Coturnix japonica: one gene and its partners. Each later gene encodes a partner of the first gene's protein in a complex. Links are inferred from orthologs where the notes say so. Each region holds a gene or a part of one and is shown on either strand. Other genes may lie near its edges. The genes, in order: ACAD9, TMEM186 and NDUFAF1.

The links.
Region 2: ACAD9 (region 1) and TMEM186 share a complex: the UniProt entries of both Homo sapiens proteins name them as parts of the mitochondrial complex. The link is inferred for Coturnix japonica from reciprocal best matches to the Homo sapiens genes ACAD9 and TMEM186.
Region 3: ACAD9 (region 1) and NDUFAF1 share a complex: the UniProt entries of both Homo sapiens proteins name them as parts of the mitochondrial complex. The link is inferred for Coturnix japonica from reciprocal best matches to the Homo sapiens genes ACAD9 and NDUFAF1.

Annotation. Positions count from the first base shown.
Region 1 is NC_029527.1:3,510,924-3,517,128, forward strand, and holds part of ACAD9 (complex I assembly factor ACAD9, mitochondrial), read right to left. Parts: intron 4,549-6,205; coding exon 4,447-4,548; intron 1,732-4,446; coding exon 1,625-1,731; intron 1,085-1,624; coding exon 984-1,084; intron 1-983. UniProt on the Homo sapiens protein: As part of the MCIA complex, primarily participates in the assembly of the mitochondrial complex I and therefore plays a role in oxidative phosphorylation.
Region 2 is NC_029529.1:9,415,499-9,421,676, reverse strand, and holds TMEM186 (transmembrane protein 186), read right to left. Parts: upstream 3,769-6,178; coding exon 3,760-3,768; exon of another isoform or gene 3,676-3,759; coding exon 2,866-3,675; 3' UTR 1,988-2,865; downstream 1-1,987. Other genes in the region: PMM2 (phosphomannomutase 2), read left to right, coding at 3,767-3,910, 4,112-4,223, 4,356-4,432, 4,612-4,703, 4,879-4,978, 5,070-5,145, 5,620-5,735, 6,089-6,178. UniProt on the Homo sapiens protein: As part of the MCIA complex, required for efficient assembly of the mitochondrial complex I.
Region 3 is NC_029520.1:21,998,564-22,005,431, forward strand, and holds the start of NDUFAF1 (complex I intermediate-associated protein 30, mitochondrial), read right to left. Parts: upstream 3,946-6,868; 5' UTR 3,713-3,945; intron 3,229-3,712; 5' UTR 3,120-3,228; coding exon 2,610-3,119; intron 1,505-2,609; coding exon 1,319-1,504; intron 1-1,318. Other genes in the region: RNA polymerase-associated protein RTF1 homolog, read left to right, coding at 3,989-4,255. UniProt on the Homo sapiens protein: As part of the MCIA complex, involved in the assembly of the mitochondrial complex I.

The DNA of each region.
Region 1 (6,205 bases):
ACACGTTATTAGGAAACAGAACTACTTCCCCCCCGTCTTCCCCCCAGCACCTTTGCTGGGCTGCACTATCAGCTAACAGACCTCAAGCTGAATCTGTTATACTAAAACACAACCAAGTTTATAACATCTAAGTTACTCCTCAAGAGCTTATAACCTAGTTGGATACCCTAATGGAAAAAGGCTCAGCAGAAATGAAAAACAGACGACATGTGACAGGACTCCATCCACAAACATTTGGGCTCAATACAGGAGTAAAACTGCAGGCCAGCTACCACAAAGACATTGAGAATTGCTGTTCTTGTCATTAAACGTTTAAGCACCCCCTTCAATCATCACCTTATTACATAGGGGAGTGAGAAGCACATCATTTCCCCCTTGAAACAAATTCAAGCACAGCAATGTCTCACACTGGGCTTTCAGCTGCAGACAAGTTCCTGGAACACCAAGATCTCAGCTGATGCTTTAATAGGATCAGAGTTCTAAAACTCAGCTGTAAAAATGACTGTCCTGTGTGCTAGAACAGAAATACCAGCAGAGGCTGGAGCTGCACTTACAAGGACCAGCAATTTTCAAAAATCATACAAGGCTAAATAAAGTTGTTAGAGGACTTTCCGAACAAAGTCAGCCCTTGTTTCCTTCCTGCAAGTCATTTCAAAGTCCCTTGCATGGATTACTTTGTTAAAAGTTTAAGTGATCAGCCATCCCACAGCAAACCACCTGCCAGCATGATTTTAATGGAGCCGCCTCATTTGCACTGACAGAACTTGCTGGTTTGATCAAGGATTAAACTCAAATACAACCCTGGCTTCAAAAGGAGGTTGCTGCTACAAAGATACCTTTTATAAACACCCCCAGGTGTCTATATAAGGACCAAAAGTCCTTCCTATTATTTTTATACAGTGACAAAGCAATCAGACAGTAAAGGAAGCATCATCTTGGTGTTCTGGTGCTTTCTGAAGATTTCCTAGTTACAAGAGCAGTACCTTCCAGGTTCAGTGAGACAGAAGGCTGCAATGTGCTCCCCAGACGCCAGCTTAGGCAGGTACTTGGCCTTCTGCTGCTCAGTGCCAGCAATCAGGATTCCCTGCACACAGAATTAAAACTTTTCAGCATCAAACGATGTCAGCAGAACTGAAGCAAACTGCACCAATGTTAATCTGCAAATTATATGGCATAACAAGGCAGTACTAAGAACAAGTTCAATAAACAAAGGACTTTATTACTGATCAGGCATTAAAAGATGCCAAAGTAACAGCTGTTCAGAGGCCCCCAAGAAGCAGCTCGCTGTTAAGGCTGCCTTCTCAGGGAGGTTCCTGGATCCTAATGCTGGAAGCAAGGATGTAATTGTTGCTGTGAAAGGCACAGACACAGCCCTCCCTTCATAACTCATCATACCTTCATTATGATTTTATTAAGTAACTCAAAAAGGATCGACTCTAGAAGCTCCTAATCAGAGAACAGAACGTGATTTACTTAATTTCCAAACTATTTCACTACAAAGCATAATGTTACTTTAATTATTATTGTAGAGAGTCGTATTTATTTTCTATACGGGGGTTCTTATGATTAAGCAGATAAAATATCAGTACCAACAAATGAGGAAGGATTTGTGTCAGCTTCATACCTTCAGCCCAATAGCCTGGTGAGCTGCCAGAGTAACCGCGATCGATCCATCCAAGGAGATGATTTCTCCCAGCCGTGCGTACATGATGTGTGACAGTCCGAGACCACCTGGAACAAACACTGTGCTTTATTCCAAGCAGGTACCTCACAGTTTAACTCACTCACTCCTACTCAAAAATTCCCTTTTAAATACAGCCATATTTTAATAGTGGTGCTTGCTGGGGAACACCTCAGTATGGACAGCCCACAAACAGCTGCCACGTGCTGCAGGTGTGACATTAGAGCTCATCTAAAGCACAACAAAAGGCTTTTTTAAATAAACACGAGTTGTGCTAAGCGTAGTTCTATTGAAAAAACAGACCTGTGTATGCATGCATGCACCCAATGGTACAACAAGCCTATAAAAAGGGAGAAATCAGTAAAAGATTTGGTATAAAAATGTCTCGATTCTGGATTTCTGTGCATCCAGGATAAAATTACTGTCCTGACCTTGCAGAAGGGAAGGAAGCCCAGCAGAGCTCTGCAGCTGAGCAGGCAGCAGAGGGAGCAGCGCTGCACGGGGCACACAGGGCGCTCAGCCAGGAAACAAAGTGGAAGTGACATGGAGCAGATCCACAGTCAGAGCTGCACTAAGAATGAAACGTTGCACTTCCACGTCACAGACGCACCCGTCCGAGGGCAGCGTTCAAGGACACGATGTTTTCAGCACTGCAAGTCCCACTCGCCAGCACTTAAGACTACAATGAGTATTACTGAATAAACAGTTTTATCTGAGCAAGAGAATCTTTTGCCCAGGTTTATGGGTTTATAATTCTTTACAAGAGACAGTGACAGAAGTCAGGATGACAAGCGCCTTAATTTCAGCAGACATCTCAATAGTGCAGCTGTTTTCTGCACATGAAATAACAAGTCCCCTCAATGCCATCCATTCCAATCACTGCTCCTCACACCCCATTCCTTCACAGCTTCTAATGAAGTCAGAATCCCATCCAGCTACAGCTCTTTCTTTTCCCACCCTGAGGAGCACTGAGCTCAGAGACCACTGATGTGTGCACCCTGACTGCAGTGATGACAAGACAAAGAGCACTTCTACACCACGAGCATCAGCTCCATCTTCCCATTAAAGTTCTGCATTTGAAACACAAATACACCACGACTACAAACCACTACAAAAAACACCATGCACTGAGCAAGGCACCAAATATATTAGACTGAAGAATTTTCAAGTACAACAAGCACTTCTAGCACAAATATAGCAGGTTTAAACAACAAAAATGGGAAATAAGCTCATCATAAGTGTATTAGTCATGGTGTGGTGAAAAAAGTAACCTGCTGATAGCAATCTGATTTTCATCCAGCATATATGAATACAGGACAGCAGGACTATGGTTTTATACAAGTACCATGAATGGGCTGCAAGCTTCTAAAAACCAGAACTGACAGTATTATATGGCAATGCAAAAAGTAATAATAATTTGTTAAGGATTTTAAGTCAGATACTCATTTCTAATTAACAGTAAATTACATTTTCAATGTCATGATGTTTTCTTATCATCTGCTTTGAGTTGTTTCCTTTGTCCTCTGCTTCCAACACCTCCTTTCATTGGATATTAACTTCCTGCCGTCTCAGTATGTTTCTTAATTCCTAATTACCCCCCCTCCCCATGTGAGTTAAGGTGCTCTGTCCAAAGCACCATCCTGGAAATAAAACCTTGATGGTGCTTGCAGATCTGTTCTCCATCCTACTCCCGCATTGCCTTGCTGTGCTCTAAATACCCATTGAAAAACACTTTACAGCATTTCTAAGGCATTCCAAAAGCATTAACAACATTAAACAGAGATCACATAATGATACTTTACATGCAGGTTGTCCAAAATACTCTAATTTGGGAAAAACCTCTAAGGAAGTGAAATCAGTGGAGCTTAGCAACACCACTTATGTTAATACAATAAAACAACAAACAGAACAAAACCCTTTATGGAAATAAGGGTATTACCTCAACAGCAAACTAACACTGAGGTACATCTCCAGCTCTATCCAGCATTCTTACAAATACTGGAACAAATGTGCTGTTTCACACTATTGTGAAGTGTCCTCCCCACTGAAATTAATTACTACAGACTGTCAAACCCAGTTCCACCTTCCTTTGAATCCTCCTCTTCCAGTCGCTCTCCTGTTCTACACTAGAAAGCAGACAATGCATCTCTTTCCTTATTTTATATATTTCAAGTTATGAACCAGTTTCAATCCCATTTTCAAAACACATCAGAATATGACTGTAATTTTCTTGCTGTTGCAAGTTTAAGAGTTAATCCACTGAGTAAGTAATGTCTGATCCCAGCTTACTCTGTAACCCCCTTTAAGACACAAGCTTTGTGTTCAAATATGTTTTACAACAAAGGCCACATTGTGTATCACAAGGCACTGCACTTCTCTAACTCTGTGCAGTCAAACACATTCCTGTCAGTGAATGACAGCTCTGACAGATCCATCAGACACTGCTGTCTGTACCTGGTCTAATTTTAGCAATCATCATCTTGTCCTTCATGTCCCACAGAACATCACGCTACTCCACTGCAGCCAAACATTGGACTAAAAGGAAAACTCTGTGCCAGGGGCAATGTACACCTGGTAAATGCAATTACCCAACTTGGGTACCTTTAAGCCAGGAGAGTGCACAGCACCGCACTGACACCTTCAGTGCCCACACCTCTGTGTTAACTGGACAGCCACAACAATACACAGGAATCACAGACACATGATGTGACAGCCAAGTATCTTACCACAGGTCACCAGGTTATTCTTTTTGATCACTTACTCACCATATTCCTCTGGAATCATCATGCCAAAGAGACCCAGATCCCTCAGTCCTTTCAAAGTTTCAGGTGGGATTTTTGCATCAAGATCAATCTTCCTGGAGTCCACTACAAATACAGAAAGTTTAATAATTTAAAGCCTTGATTTTCATCACAGAGAAAAACGTGAGATCACCGCGCTCTGAAATCAGAGCTAAGGTCACTGCGTCCATGAGTCACCAGCACTGTGCCCTCTAACCTAAATACCAGCTTGAGAAGAACTGAAATAGCCTGCAGAAAAAATGGCTGCGGGAACAGCACGCCTCCCCTGCTCTAATTACCCGGTGGATTTCTGAAGCAGCTTAGTAATATTGTGCTTGTTGCACCACATACCTACATACATCTCATCCCTACTGTCACAAGACTTATTTATTCTAGGTTTAGCCTGATCTTATGAGCCATCCTGTTTGCCTCTGTCCCCTCATGGCTGGAAATCTCAAACCCTAAGCTGGCTCCTGTAAGACTAATGGTCTCAGCCTCCTTCCCCAACCAGTCTCCTCCCAGCAGAGCAAAACACTCTTCCTACACACTCCTTCCAGAAGTCCAACTTTGTTTCCAGAAGGCTTTGTCCTTCAGGAGAGATGTGATACATTAACTTGAGCAATTGCTTTTCCAAAGGCAATTTCCTGGTTTTCCGGAAGCACCAACTTTACTCATGAAATGAGCTGAAAGCATTAAGAAGAACCTGATCTGCCATGGAGCCAACACTCCACCTGATCACCCCACCTTATTACACACACCATTAAGGCCTAAACACCAGAAGATCCCAGAACACTGACTATGACACTCAGATCATGACAGACCTGAGGAAAGGACTTGGAAGTGGGGAAAAAAATCTCATTTTTGTTTCATTGCCTTGAATGTGTGCTCCAGTGGACTCAGTGACTGGAGTAAGTCAGGCATTTCTTACCAAACTATACCATGGCCATCATTTTTTTTCCAAGTCCTTAATCATGGAATCATAGAACAGCATATAATTGGGAAATGGGCTCATTACACAACTCTGGTTCTTATGAGGCATTTAAATTCTTAGGGGACGACCACAGCGGTTCTGCACAGTGACAGGGAAAATACACCAGCATCACAGCAGGCAGCTGAGGAAGGGTGGAGGATACAGCAAAAGGGATGACAGCCACCTTGCCAGAGAGCACTCAGAAAAGTCACTGTAAAAGCAGCAGTGTGTTCCTAAAGGAACTTCCCACCCAGAGCTCTACACCACAGACTGCCAGGCTTTAGAACCATGGCTGAACTGAACTTCTTTGGTTACCCGGTGCCAGCCATACGTATCAGGTTTCCAAGCACCTACGGCTGCTCCCCTTATCTGTTTTATATCGCAGCCCACAGACTGGCCTAATCATTAGGCAGAAACAGCCATTAATGCAAACAAAGACAATCAATTCCTACCTTCTGTCCAGACTTTATAATCTGATAGTTTTATTTCTCCCTTAAATATCCACTTTTTTACTCAACAAATGTTATTTCCCAACAAAGCAAAGAACTATAATGCATAACCTGCATAAATTAATTTATTGTTGCTGTGCAACGTTGCAGCTTTATTGTTAAAACTGCCTGTATCTCATAAATCATCACATATAACATTGCAGCTTCTTCAAGCTCCAGCAATCCAGGCCTCTATCTTTGCCAGCAGATCTCAGACGACACTTTCAGGTACCTCAGAGCTGTTTTTAAGAACCAATTTTCTACAGCTGTTCTAGAACTGCATCAA
Region 2 (6,178 bases), on another chromosome or scaffold:
TTTATGTTAAGCACCAAAAAGGAGGGACCACATCTGACACTACAGTCGCCCTATTAGCAAGTTTTTAATTATACAGTACAGACAGAGCAGTTTAAGGACTTATACATGCTTAAAAGAGCTACCAAACTGTGAAAGGTTTCTTACCTTCTTGGTAAGTTTTAATCACGGTTTTCCCATTTTATTTATTGAGTTTATTGGACGACTCAAGAAAACTCACTTCTATTAGCTTAAAAATAACGGGATTTCTATAAACCTCTCTGCAGAACCCAGAATTCAGGTACCAGCTGGTCAGAACCTGAGCAGGTTTTTGAACGGAGGTTGTTGGTGTTCAACAAAGCCTCGTTGTCATCACTGTCCTATTATCACCAAGAGGAAAGTCAAACTGAGAACTGCATTTGACTGCATTCTGGGAAGTAGGTAGTTCAACATATCAGTGCAGTAGTTTTAGTGTCCTAGCAAGTCAAGTCTTGTACTTTTCCAGAGGCAAAGGTCCAGTACTTTGAAGTCTTACCACACCTTCACTTTTATGATGAATACTCTAGATGTTTTTATAATTTTTACTGACACTCAGTAACTGTATAATTGTGTACAACATGCTGATGAGATCATGTTAGAGAATACATAGGAAGCACTGCAGCTGAAGCGTATGAAGTTAATATTGTTTACAACATACTGTGGACAGTGCCAAATAAATGTTTAAGCCAATACTTAACTACACTTCATGGTGTAACCAGTAACTGTACACAGATTCATAAAACAAACAATGACATCTCGTGTAATCAGTATTCTTAAATAAAATATTTATAATTCAACTGCCCCAAGGCTCTTTATTTTACCCCTAGCACGTGCCTAGGCTGAATCATTAGTGCACATATTAACTACATTCACATGAAGAGATTTCTCCACAACCCATACCAGACCACTTCAGTCAGCTGAGATTCTGCTCCCACAGCATTTAAGCCAAGGAACATTTTTATTTTCTTTTTGATATTGCTGCACAACTCGCTATCAGCCAAAACTGAGATGGAGACCCCAATCAGGAGACATTCAACATGAGTGGGCAGTACATCGGGGTTAGCATTTGCACTGTAACAGCAATTGTACCTACCTGATCTGCTGATCCACTGAGATGGATTTTAGTAGGCCCGAGGAATAGACCGAAAAGCACGTTCCAGATGTCGCTGCTGGTGAGGTTAGCTGATGTGCTGGAAATGATCTCAGAAGTCATCAAATCCAACTGTTAACCTAGAACGGCCACTAAACCACGTCCCTCAGCACTGCATGTGTTGAGTCTTTTCAGTACCTCAGCTTTGCCCGGGACAGCCTGCCATAGTGCTTCAAAAAGACTTCTTATAATACCCTTAAAATTACCCTTAAACAGCTTAAACTTGAGGCTGTTTCCTCATCCTATCAATCACTATTACCTGGGAGAAGAGACTGAGCCCTGCCTTGTTAAAGCCTCCTTTGAGGTAACTAACTGTAGAGAGTAATAAAGTCCCCAGGCCTCCTTTCCCCTGTGCCAAACAATCTGCTGCTCCTAAAGGTTTGTACTGCATTGTACAAACCTTTAGGACATTGTACATTGAACTACATTTGTTCCTAGATTTAAATCCTGATTTCTGCTGAGATTTTGGCTTTGGCAAAGGAGGAATCAATAATACAGCAGAGCACCTCCTCTGCCCTTTACAGACACAGGGGGTGAGGTGATGAGCTCCACACACACAGGGGGGGCTGTGATCAGCTCTACCAGTTCAACAGAACAAGCTACACCTGTTACACTTCTCAGCTGTAATTCAACACAGCTTTTATCTGTTTTACCTTTTCTCCCCTTGTTTTAGGTCAGGGCAGTGGGTGGGTATTTGCCAAGGGTGCTGTAGACGTTAGAGAGCCCAAATCAACACACAGATCAAGCAGGACAGAGCAGCTGAACCACAGCTACATGGTGATCTATGGTGGTAAACAGAAGGTTGGTGACTTCAGTCTCAGATAATTTTTTAGCAATATTTACTGTTTTTGCAACTCGAGTGCTACAGCAGTGATTAAATGTCATTCACACATACATACAAACAACCCCCCCAGCATGAACATATGCAGACAAGAACAAGTAGTTCCAAATTTCAACATAATGATTGTTAAAATCCGAACTGAGAAAGGGCTCCCTGTCATTCATAGCACCACAAACGAAGAATACTGCATTCTTCCTTTATTTCAATGGGAAATGATTTAACACTGAAGGCTCCTGGAGGGGCTTTAACCACCCAGACATCAGCTGTGCAGCAGCACTTGGGTTCTGTTTGCACCCACACAGCCACCAGCCCTGCGTACTCAGAGCTGATCCAAATATCGTTTCTTTAACACTGATTTTATGATTGTCAGGAAGCCTTTTCACCATTATAACTACTAATTACTGCTCATAAATCCATGGGCCAGTATCACTCTGACATCTAGCATCATTTATCATACGACTGTATGGGAGCACTTGAATTTCACTAAGTTTCCCAGCTAACCTAAACCTTGCTGAAGGTGAATCTGAAATGAGGATGCTCTGACACTCACTTTGAAAGCTTGGGTTTTTTTTTACCCAAAGCCTCCAAAGCTGAAACATTGCAGGGCAGCACCTCGCTGCCTCTATGGCTGTGTGACACTGCACACACTAACTGCATCCAAAAGGAGCACTCCTGCTCACCCCAGAACTGCAACACTTACTTACTTACCCAGAGGACTGTTGGATACTGTTACACTGAACACACAGCCCAGCAGACGTGGCAAAAATGACAGAAGTGTATCAGTTCGATAAACGAATTGCATGTTGTGCAAGAATCCACATAAGGAACAATACAACAAGAGGCATCAGCTGCCGCTGAATCACTGCAGCTCTCCAAATATCTGCATAAACTTCTGTCTGTCCACAATCTGTCCGTATTTAATAGTGAAATACAAGACCTCTGTGCTGTTGTACCTTCTGAACCGGAGCAGCAGCTCTCCCCTGGCATCCCCGACCTCATCCAAAGTCATCACCGTCTCCAAGGGGCAGCAGATGTCGTTGCGCCTCCCCCAGAACGTCATGTGGGACACTTTGACGGTTCTTCCGCTTTCACTTAAGTAAATCAACCCGATAATTCGTCTGAAAAAGTAACTCATCCCGTACAGCATCACAGCGGCAAAGACAGCGATGCCGGCCGTGTACAGCAGCACGGCCTGGGGCAGCTGCTGCTGCAGGTGCAGGTAACACACGGGTGGAAGCACCAGCAGCGTCGTTGCGGTCTGAAGCAGCTTCAACCTCGACAGCAGCCGGCAGTATTTAATACCAGGGAACCTGTACACCACGCGGAACTCTTCGCTTTTACCTCCTCCAACCTGCGGGATGGCAGCGACAGGAGCGGCCCTGCCAGGCAGGGGGGTTGGAACTACATGATCCTTGAGGTCCCTTCCAACCCGGGTCAATGTGTGATTCTGTGTGATTCTGTGAGACCAACGGCGCAGGAACCGAGACGGCACACGGTCACCGAGAAAGCCGTGGATTCTCCCGTTGTGTGCCCACCAACACACGGCCCTACCGAGCGAGCAGGGCGGCCCGGCGGCCTCCTCCTTCCACACCGTCCTGCAGGTCCCCCCATGCAGCCACCTCCCCATGGCCGACAAGGCGCGGCCGCTCCTCACGCAGCACAGCCGGACCTGCGGGCACACTGAGGTGAACAACGAGGCCCAAAGCCGCGCACCCTGAGCAGGCCGAGCTCCCCCCGCACCACCACAACTCACCATCGCCATGAGGGAAGCGCTGCCACGCCGCCGTCTCACAGCACCGCCCCCTTCCCGGCTGGCCCCGCTGCTCACAGCCGCGATGGCGCCGGCGGAGCGAGCCGTGCTGTGTCTGTTCGATGTGGACGGGACCCTCACTGCGCCGCGGCAGGTGAGTGGAGAACGGCGGGGGGAGATCAGGGCCGAGCGGGGCGGGATGAGGGGCCTGGAGCGGTCAATGGGGCAGCGCCTGAGCACGGGGCTGTATGGGCTGCACACACGGCTGGGCACGGGGCTGTATGGGCTGGGCACGGGGCTGTTACAGCTCCGGGTAATGCTGACCCCGATTGCACTGTTTGATTTTCGACCGTAGAAAATCACGGCGGAGATGGCGGAGTTCCTGCAGAGGTTGCGTCAGAAGGTGAAGGTGGGCGTTGTCGGGGGTTCAGACTTTGAGAAGATCAAGGAGCAGCTCGGTGATGACGGTACGGGATGGGGCTGTGCCCGGGGTTACCGAGTCCTTCTTCCCGTTGGGATCTCACTCGTTCTAACCCGTGTAACTCACGTTTGAACACACGGGCGGTTCCTGTCACCACCTTCCTCCTGTTTGTTTGCAGTGGTTGAGAAGTTTGACTACGTGTTTCCAGAGAACGGGCTCGTGGCTTACAAAGATGGGAAGTTCTTCAGCAAGCAGGTAGGGGCAAAAAAAGTGGGAACTTCTAGTTAAATCAATGGAGAGTTCCTTATTGAAAGGCCACTGCTCTGTGCCAGCAATCACAGCTGATTATCCACCAGCTGTGTTCTCCTGTTAAACTGTTTCAAGGATCTCCAGATGTGGAGCCTGGGTTAATTAATGGTATTGATTTTGTTTAGAACATTCAGGGTCACCTGGGTGAGGAGGTGCTCCAAGACCTCATCAACTACTGCCTGAGTTACATTGCAAAGATTAAACTGCCAAAGAAAAGGTATGTGCATAGGATGCATCTCAAGTCAGCATCTAAGAGTGCTGGGCTTCAATGTGCAAAGCAGACACCTCATGTAAAGGGGTCCCACTGTCTTTAAACAAAGCCTCATTGCTACATTCAGTATCTTAAACGTTGTTTCATCTGTTTTCTGCCTTGTTAATTAATTCTCTTTCAGGGGCACTTTTATTGAATTCCGCAATGGGATGTTAAACGTGTCCCCCATTGGAAGAAGCTGTAGCCAGGAAGAACGAATTGAGTTCTATGAACTTGATAAGGTGATTGGGTGTTTTTAGTTATTATTTTTCTATTGCTGAATTAACACAGCGTGCAGCTGATCCCTTTTGTTTCTTTGTTTTTCTTACACAGAAGGAGCATATAAGAGAAAAATTTGTAGCTGATTTACGAAGAGAATTTGCAGGAAAAGGCCTCACATTTTCTATAGGTATCACATTTGAAATAATCTCATTTGAAACACCATTTCATTTAAATCAGATCCTCCCCCTGCCAAACAACCTAACACAAAACACTGTAACATGAAAGTACAGCAGCAATAGCACAGCATCAAGGTCCTAAACATGCTCAAACACAACAGCCATGGGCACAGAAACAAAGGAAAGAAGCTGCTTACCTTCAGAAGGCCTCAGATACACAGGGATCTCCAGCAAGATGCTCTCACCTCCACTACTAACCCTTAAATGAGGTCTGGGAAGGGGTGGATCCTGGCTTCAGCCCTTCCATCACTCAGTACATTGCCTGCACCTGAGTGCCCCTGGGCACTTCTTACCAGGTGTTCAATCAATGCTTCAGGCCACAACTCAGCATTCACTCTACTAAAAGTCATACTCCATTTTGTTCTTCCTCACTTCTGACAAATGTGTTCTTTTAACAAAGCTTTCTTGGTTCGTGTCTCTTGTAGGAGGCCAGATAAGCTTTGACGTATTCCCAGATGGCTGGGACAAGAGGTACTGCTTAGGAATCATTGCAGAAGATGGATACAAGACTGTTTATTTCTTTGGAGATAAGACTATGCCAGTGAGTAAACTGTTTTGGGAACATGTTTCAGGGCTGCGTTTTGAACTGCAAGTACTGTCAGTTCCTGTCAGCTCCATTATGCCTGACAAGAACTGAATTTAGAATAGACACACACACATATATATATATAACTATATATATATATATGAGTTACTATCTCTTAGAAAATTAAGAAAAACAAAAATAGGGTGTCTGAAGCTTCAAATAGATTTTGCCTGCAAATTCTGCTCGGTTATGCTGTTTGCTTTTACATTTACAAAAAGGATGCCAGGCTACTGCATTAGTTGAAGCTAATGCATTTAACTGAGTTAAATAACGTTAAAGAAACTTTCCTCTGCTTTTTACCTTTTCAGGGTGGGAATGATTATGAAATTTTCACAGACTCCAGAACCGAAGGCCACAGCGTTACGTCCCCGCAGGATACAAGAAGAATCTGTGAAGAG
Region 3 (6,868 bases), on another chromosome or scaffold:
TGGAAGATGGCTGTTCACATCTAGAATATCACCTTCCAATGGCGTGTCAGCTTTAACAAATTAATGAGAAGTCTAGGATGCACTATAGGCCCACGGAGAGCTCATCCACATCCAGCCTGCATATTCTATACTGCAAATTTCATTCAAAGACATCAACGTCCTAGCAAACAGTTCACAAAAATATAACAGTGATTTGAACTGGGTGGGAACAAGAAAGGAGGGCTGTGACAAGGGACAGGAAACGAGAACTGGCTGCTGTGAGTGAGGAACACGTGCAGGCCAGCAGTGACACACTTCACTGTCCTCAGAAAAGAGCTGAAACTCCCATTTCTTGCCAACATTACAGGGTGTCACAGATTCAAAGGCTGTGACTAACAATCCACACACCTCTGAGGCCCCAAGTGACTCCAAGTTTGGCAAACCATGTTGAAGGGTACACATCCTACACCAATCTAAGTCCATTCATTACAGATAAAACGGTTATTGCATAGAAAGTTCCTGGCGCTGCCTGCAAAGCTGCAATAGCTGCATCTATTCAGTGCATGCTCTGACCACCCACTGTATGAGCTGAGTATGCACCCTGTGTGGCTGCTTGTTGTGTTTCCCAGTGTTAAGACCCACAGGCTCCCAGACAATCATAGATACAGAATGGCAGGTGCTCCTGAGCGCCACTACAGCCCCACACACACGTGGGACAACCACGATGTTCTAGTTTTGGTGGCTCATTTTTTGTTAGTCTGTACTAAAGAGCCCTCAGCTCATGAAGCCAATTTCAGATAGGAGTAGAATTTATTGTTTGTTTGTTTCAATTAATTAAATTTAAGTATATACATACATTTGTCATAATGTATGTATTATAGCACATATATTCCCATTCTATAGCATGGGATATAGTATACATGTATAGCGCCAGCCCAGTTCAAAGGTCTGCCTCCTGTAACAGCAAACAACAGACATTCCGGGAAACACGTGGTAGATTATTTAAAATACATAATAGATAACATATTCATATACTAACACTAAATTTATTGTATTATTTGATTTAATTTTCACAGTTTATACTCCCACAATCCAGTAAGTTACAGCACTGGGACCTTCCAAATCAAAGGGCCACGTCTGTATGTGGATACACCACAGACACGTGGAGAACACAATTAAATGGGCTAAGTATTTAAACAGCAATAAATGATAACTGCTGAAAGAGCTGTCATTCCACAGAGCTACAGCTATGGCCCTGAAACAGCCTTTGCTTCAGAAATGTCTAGAACTGCACCTAGTTAGAAAAGTTACTTTCAGATTTAGCGACTCATTCGTTTACCTTTATTTCCTCCCAGTACGGTCCACCTCGGGTGAACATGAAGTAGTTGTACAGGTCATCCTTTTGATGGGAGAAGTAAGGGTCTGTATAAATGTTGACCATCCAAGCTCTGCCATCACCACGGACACGTAAATACAGACTGTTGAAGTTGGACCAGTCGTAATACTTCTTCCTAGCAAAAGATCCCTACAAATAAGAAATAGAATTATCCCACCTTCGTACTTAAAAGGAAATCTGCATTATGAGCACTACTGCTTGGATCACTGCCCTTGTTCTTACTGCAAATAACCGTGATGCAGTGAAACCGGGGTCCTTTTTCATCAGAGCAGTCTCGCATCTCAACAAAGAGACCACATGAGAAACCACAAAACGTAGTATCACCACTCTGAAGATCCACACATTCATTATAAATCTGGTAATTATCAGATTTATCTCCTAAGAACAAATCCCCTCCTAGACAAGAACACAAATGCTCTAACTACAGGCCTAGTTTAATAGTTGTTTAATATTCTGTGGTGAGCACTAGACTACTCAGAAGAGGTTACAAGAAACGTGGGATAATGTATCCCCTGTGGTAACTGACTTTCTCTACTGAAGACTGACAGGAGGACTAAAAGCACTTACACATTTCCCAACAGGTTTTGACGCTAACTGCACAATGATCCAGGTTACAAGCACATCCAGGCCCCAAGTGTATTATCCACAGATCTTCCAAAGTCCCAGAGCTGTGATATGCTCCATATTCTGCTCATATGCTCTGACAGCTCCCATGACCTCTGCGGAATGTTAGTGATGTCACTGGAGCACTAGGGTGGCATCAGGGATATTCTAGGCCAGAACTGCTCAAACCAAACCAAAACTTGCACCATCAATCCTGAGGCTTCTCCTTAACATCACAGCGCTACTACAGTTAACCATCCTTATAAATAAAATGAAGCCTTCCTTATATAAGCTCACAGTTGGTAGATAATTAATGAACACACTAATACAAAGACTGCGGCTACTTGATTTTATGGTTTTGCTATAAATCCCTCTTCTGTGAAGAAAACACAAACAGGACTGTGTTACTGAGTGATGTTACATCAGCAAATGATCAAATGCACTATTTTCTAAGAAAAGCCAAGCTAGACTTTTAAGTTCCTTCCAGGTCAATGGATACAAGAGCAATTACATCTATACAAGCAGTATCTGATAATCCTGAAGGTGATGGGTCACAACCACAGTAACCAGCAGCCCACCCGTCATCACTGGGATTACAGAGAAACACTCGAGTAACAGATGCTGTACTTACCACGGCTGGTTTGGCTCTCATGCTACAATATCCACTGTATTTGGTCTCCCCATCCCGAGGTACTTCAGTATTGAGTACTCCATACAGCATGGCACCCTGGTTGTTCCTACCCAGCTTTAGGTGAACTTCACTTTTCCCTCCAATCTCTACATCGGAGGAGATAACCCATTTATCTAAATCTTCCTGGCTCCGAAACTCCCACATCACCTTCGTCTGTTCCAGCAGGTACTGACTGAATGATTGGCCATCAGGTCCTGTGAGATGATCTTTGGTCTCCTGCTTCAGCAGCTTTAGCTGGGTCTTTAAGGCATCAAAGCCCTTCTTAAAGCTGAAATCAATGTTTCGCCAAGACGGTTTCACCTCAGGCTGCGCCCCCGGCCTCCGGTAACTGCTGTAACATTTTGACACGGAGTCAACACGGACAGTTCCAAGCAAGGGCTGCAAAACTTTGTGTCTGCAGCATCTACTGTGTGAGCCTGCGATGCTCAGCAACGTGACAGACAGAGCCATGCTGGTAACTAAAAGGAGCTGCTTCCAGCAGGGCAATCGATAGGGTTGAAATTAACAGCCAAATTCGTATCTGGATGTATCCTGTGTTGTAACTGCAGTTAACCCCCACCTTCAATGAAAAAGAGAAAAGAAAAATTAAAGATTTAGAAACACTAGGTGCATGTATATATTTCTAAAGTCACATTAATTAGAAATTCCAGCCATTAAGAAAAAGGAATAACAAATAATGCCGAGTATTACACTTCCTCGGCCCTCTAGGTTGTTTCAGTGTTTCTTGCCCAGTGATGTGAAATACGAAAAGAATCAAATACATTAAACAAAAGCAAAGAGTAGATAAACACAGCTATTCCTGCTAACCTTCCACCCGATGTACGCTTAGTTATTCTCGACCAACACCAACAAGAACAGCCTCAGGCACAGCGCTCCTCTAGGCGGACACCTCTCAAGGCCGCGGCCCCTCAGGCTGCTCAGGCCGGTCCCTGGGATGGCTGCATCCCGCCGCATGGCAGTGCTGTGCCGTGCCGTGCGGTGCCGTTCCGTACCACAGCCCGGTTTCCCCCCCCGCCCCGCTCGTGCCTCCCCGCTCCTCTCACCTCAAGCCGCGGCTCCTCGGCGTTTCCGTGCCCGGCGGGGAACGCGCTCCAGGCCGCTCAGGTTCCGCCCACGGCGCGGCCTCACACCCGCGCGGCGCGGAGGGACCCAGGAGCCCTTCCCCGTGTGTTTGTGCTTAATGAGTTACGGTTTGGGGCAGACGGCCGCCTGCGGGGGCCGGGCAGGAGCGGTGCGTGGACAGAACGGGAGATGCGGCCGGGGGAGCGGCCTGTGCGCGAAGTCCCGATCCCCGAGGAGCGGAACGGGCCGCTGCCGCCATGTCGCCCTACTCCGCTCACGGGCAGCGGAACGACCCGCGGCGGCCCCGCCCTCCTTCCCGCCCCGTCGCGGTGCGCATGCGCGGTGCCCTTTGTGTCCCGGTCGGGCGGGCGGCGCGGGGCAGGCCGGGCCGTGAGGAGCGCCGCGCCGCCGCCGGCCGAGAGGGACGCGGGGAAGGCGGCTCCGCCATGGTGAAGAAGCGGAAAGGCCGCGTCCTCATCGACTCCGACACCGAGGACAGCGGCAGCGAGGAGAACCTCGACCAGGTGCGCGGGGAGGCCCGGACCGGGCCCTCCGGGCCGCGAGGGGCCGGGAGCCGCCATCCGTCCTTCTCTCCTCCCCTCGGCCCGGCCGGGATGCGGCCCCGGGGGGGGCTCCGCGGACAGACCGCGCGGCGCCGCTTCGGGCCGCCCTGCCCGGCAGTACCGGCGGCTGAGCAGCACGGGGCCGCGGGGATGCGCGGGGGTTCGGCCCGCGGGATCCTGAGGCGCGGGCGGGGGGCATGGCGGCGGGGAGCCGTGCTGTGTGTGTGTGCTGTGTGTTGTGTGTGTGTGCTCTAGATGTGTGTGCTCGGGGTGTATGTGTGTGCTCGGGGTGTGTGTGTGCTTGGGATGTGTGTGTGCTCTGGATGTGTGTGTCGTGTGGTCGTGTTGTGTGTTTCTGGTGTGTTGCTGTGTGGTTGTGTTGTTGTGTTGTGTTGTTGTGTGGTTGTGTTGTTGTGTTGCTGTGTAGTTGTGTTGCTGTGTGTGTGTGTGCTGTGTGTGTGTGTGTGTGCTGTGTGTGTGTGTGTGCTGTGTGTGTGTGTGTGCTGTGTGTGTGCTGTGTGTGTGCTGTTTGTGTGTGCTGTTTGTGTGTGCTGTTTGTGTGTGCTGTTTGTGTGTGCTGTGTGTTGTGTGTGTGTGTTGTGTGTGTGTGTGTGTGTGTGTGTGTGTGCTGTGTGTGTGTGTGCTGTGTGTGTGTGTGCTGTGTGTGTGTGTGTGTGCTGTGTGTATGTGCTGTGTGTGCTGTGTGTGTGTGCTGTGTGTGCTGTGTGTGTGTACTGCCGCCTGCTCCACGGGAAGCGCCGTGCACGGGCGGCCGATCCCGGGAGCCGCATGCGGGTGCTCCGTGCCGGGCCCTGCCGGCTGCGCTGCGCTGTGCTGGTGGGAGCCGTGCGCTGCCGTTGGAGCACCTGGTGGGGCTGGGAGTGCGGTGTGGGGCAGCGCGATGTGCGTATGGCAGCGCTGCACTCCTCTCTGCAGGGTCATTCTCAGCGCTCCAGCTCTCAGGGCAGCAGCTGCTGACAGGTGGTAAATAAAGATGTAGGCAAAGTGTGGTGTATCTACTGTGCCCTCCTTCTTCTATGAAGAAGCTGGGTTGATTTCACGTGCTGGTGCCTACACGTCTGTCTGTGTGCTGGGCCTTTGAGTTTTTAATAGAGAAGCTGTTGCTGTGTTGTAAATAAATAACACTGGCCTCAAATGCTCAGAAATGCTTTTGCAGACTGGAGCTGCAAATTCTACGCCCCTTTAAACAAACATACCATAGATCCTGCCCTGATGGTACTGATCTTGCCGCCTTGTAAAGCTGTCAGCTTCTCACCCTGCTGTATTAATTCCATAGTCACTTCAGAACCTGAAAGCAGGAGGAGTTGCTTGTATTGCTTGGAGTAAAGGTGGCAGTAAGTGTTAACACCGAGATATCATGATGGAACACAGTCTGTGTAGAAGTACAACTTAGTGACTGCTGTTAGAGGTGATGTCTAGAAAAGGGTTGTAGAAAACACCAGGTGCTTCCTCGTGGGAGCCTCTTATTGTAGAAATACATTCTGTTGGTGTTGGATCTTGTCTTCAGAACATCATTTGTGAAGTGCCATTGCCAACTTTGTAGGTAAAAGCCTAGGCCTTCAGCCTCAGCAATGTTTGTGTTCTCACTTGAGGTCCTAAACTCTAATCTGTTTGCTGTGGAGATGGTCTTTCAGATGTGAATCTAATTCAAACCCAACCAGTATTGTCTTCCCAAGCTTGCAGAAGTTGGTGTGGCTTTATTTTTGCTCACCACTAAGATTCATCAGCCCCAGAGCAATGCTTTTAACAATAAATTAAATCATAGGCTACAAAGACAGCACTGCAGCTTCAGAAATAATTGGTTTGAATTACTGCTTCTGTCACCTGGACAATCCGTGAGCAGCAGATGATGAGTTTGTTTGTGAGCCGGTACTTCTTCTTGGTTACCTGTGTGGCTTTTGGGGCTGCTTCACAAGTCTGAGCTTGGTGCCTGCTCTGTGTGTGTCCCCTGCTTTTAGTGCCATCCCTGGCACCTGAGGATGCTGAAACAGAGTTGAACAGTCTCGCCAGAAGCATCAGCTGTGATATATCTCCTTTATAACGTGTATGGTTTCAAATCACAGAATCACAGAATGAGCCGGGTTGGAAGGGACCTCAAGGATCATGTAGTTCCAACCCCCCTGCCTGGCAGGGCCACCAAACATACACCTTTACTAGATCAGGTTGCCCATGGCCCCGTCCAACCTGGCCTTGAACACCTCCAAGGACGGGGCATCCACAACCTCCCTGGGCAGCCTGTTCCAGGGCCGAACCACTCTCCTAGTAAAGAAATGTCTTTAAAAGGAAGATGAACTGCTCAAGCATTTGTTGCCCTGGACTCTTTAGTGGCATTTGGCTTTTGGTGTTAACGCTGTGCAATGTAATTAGGGTTTTCTAAATTTTTACCTGGTCTAAATGCCAGAGACCCAAAGGTAATTCATTTGTTCAAAAAAGTGATGGTGATAATATTTCCTACTTAGGGCTTTCAAAATCCTTTTGTAACATTCAGCTGTATTAAAACTCTCTGTATATGCATATTTATGAAATGTGAGTAGATTTTGTTCCCCAGTCAGT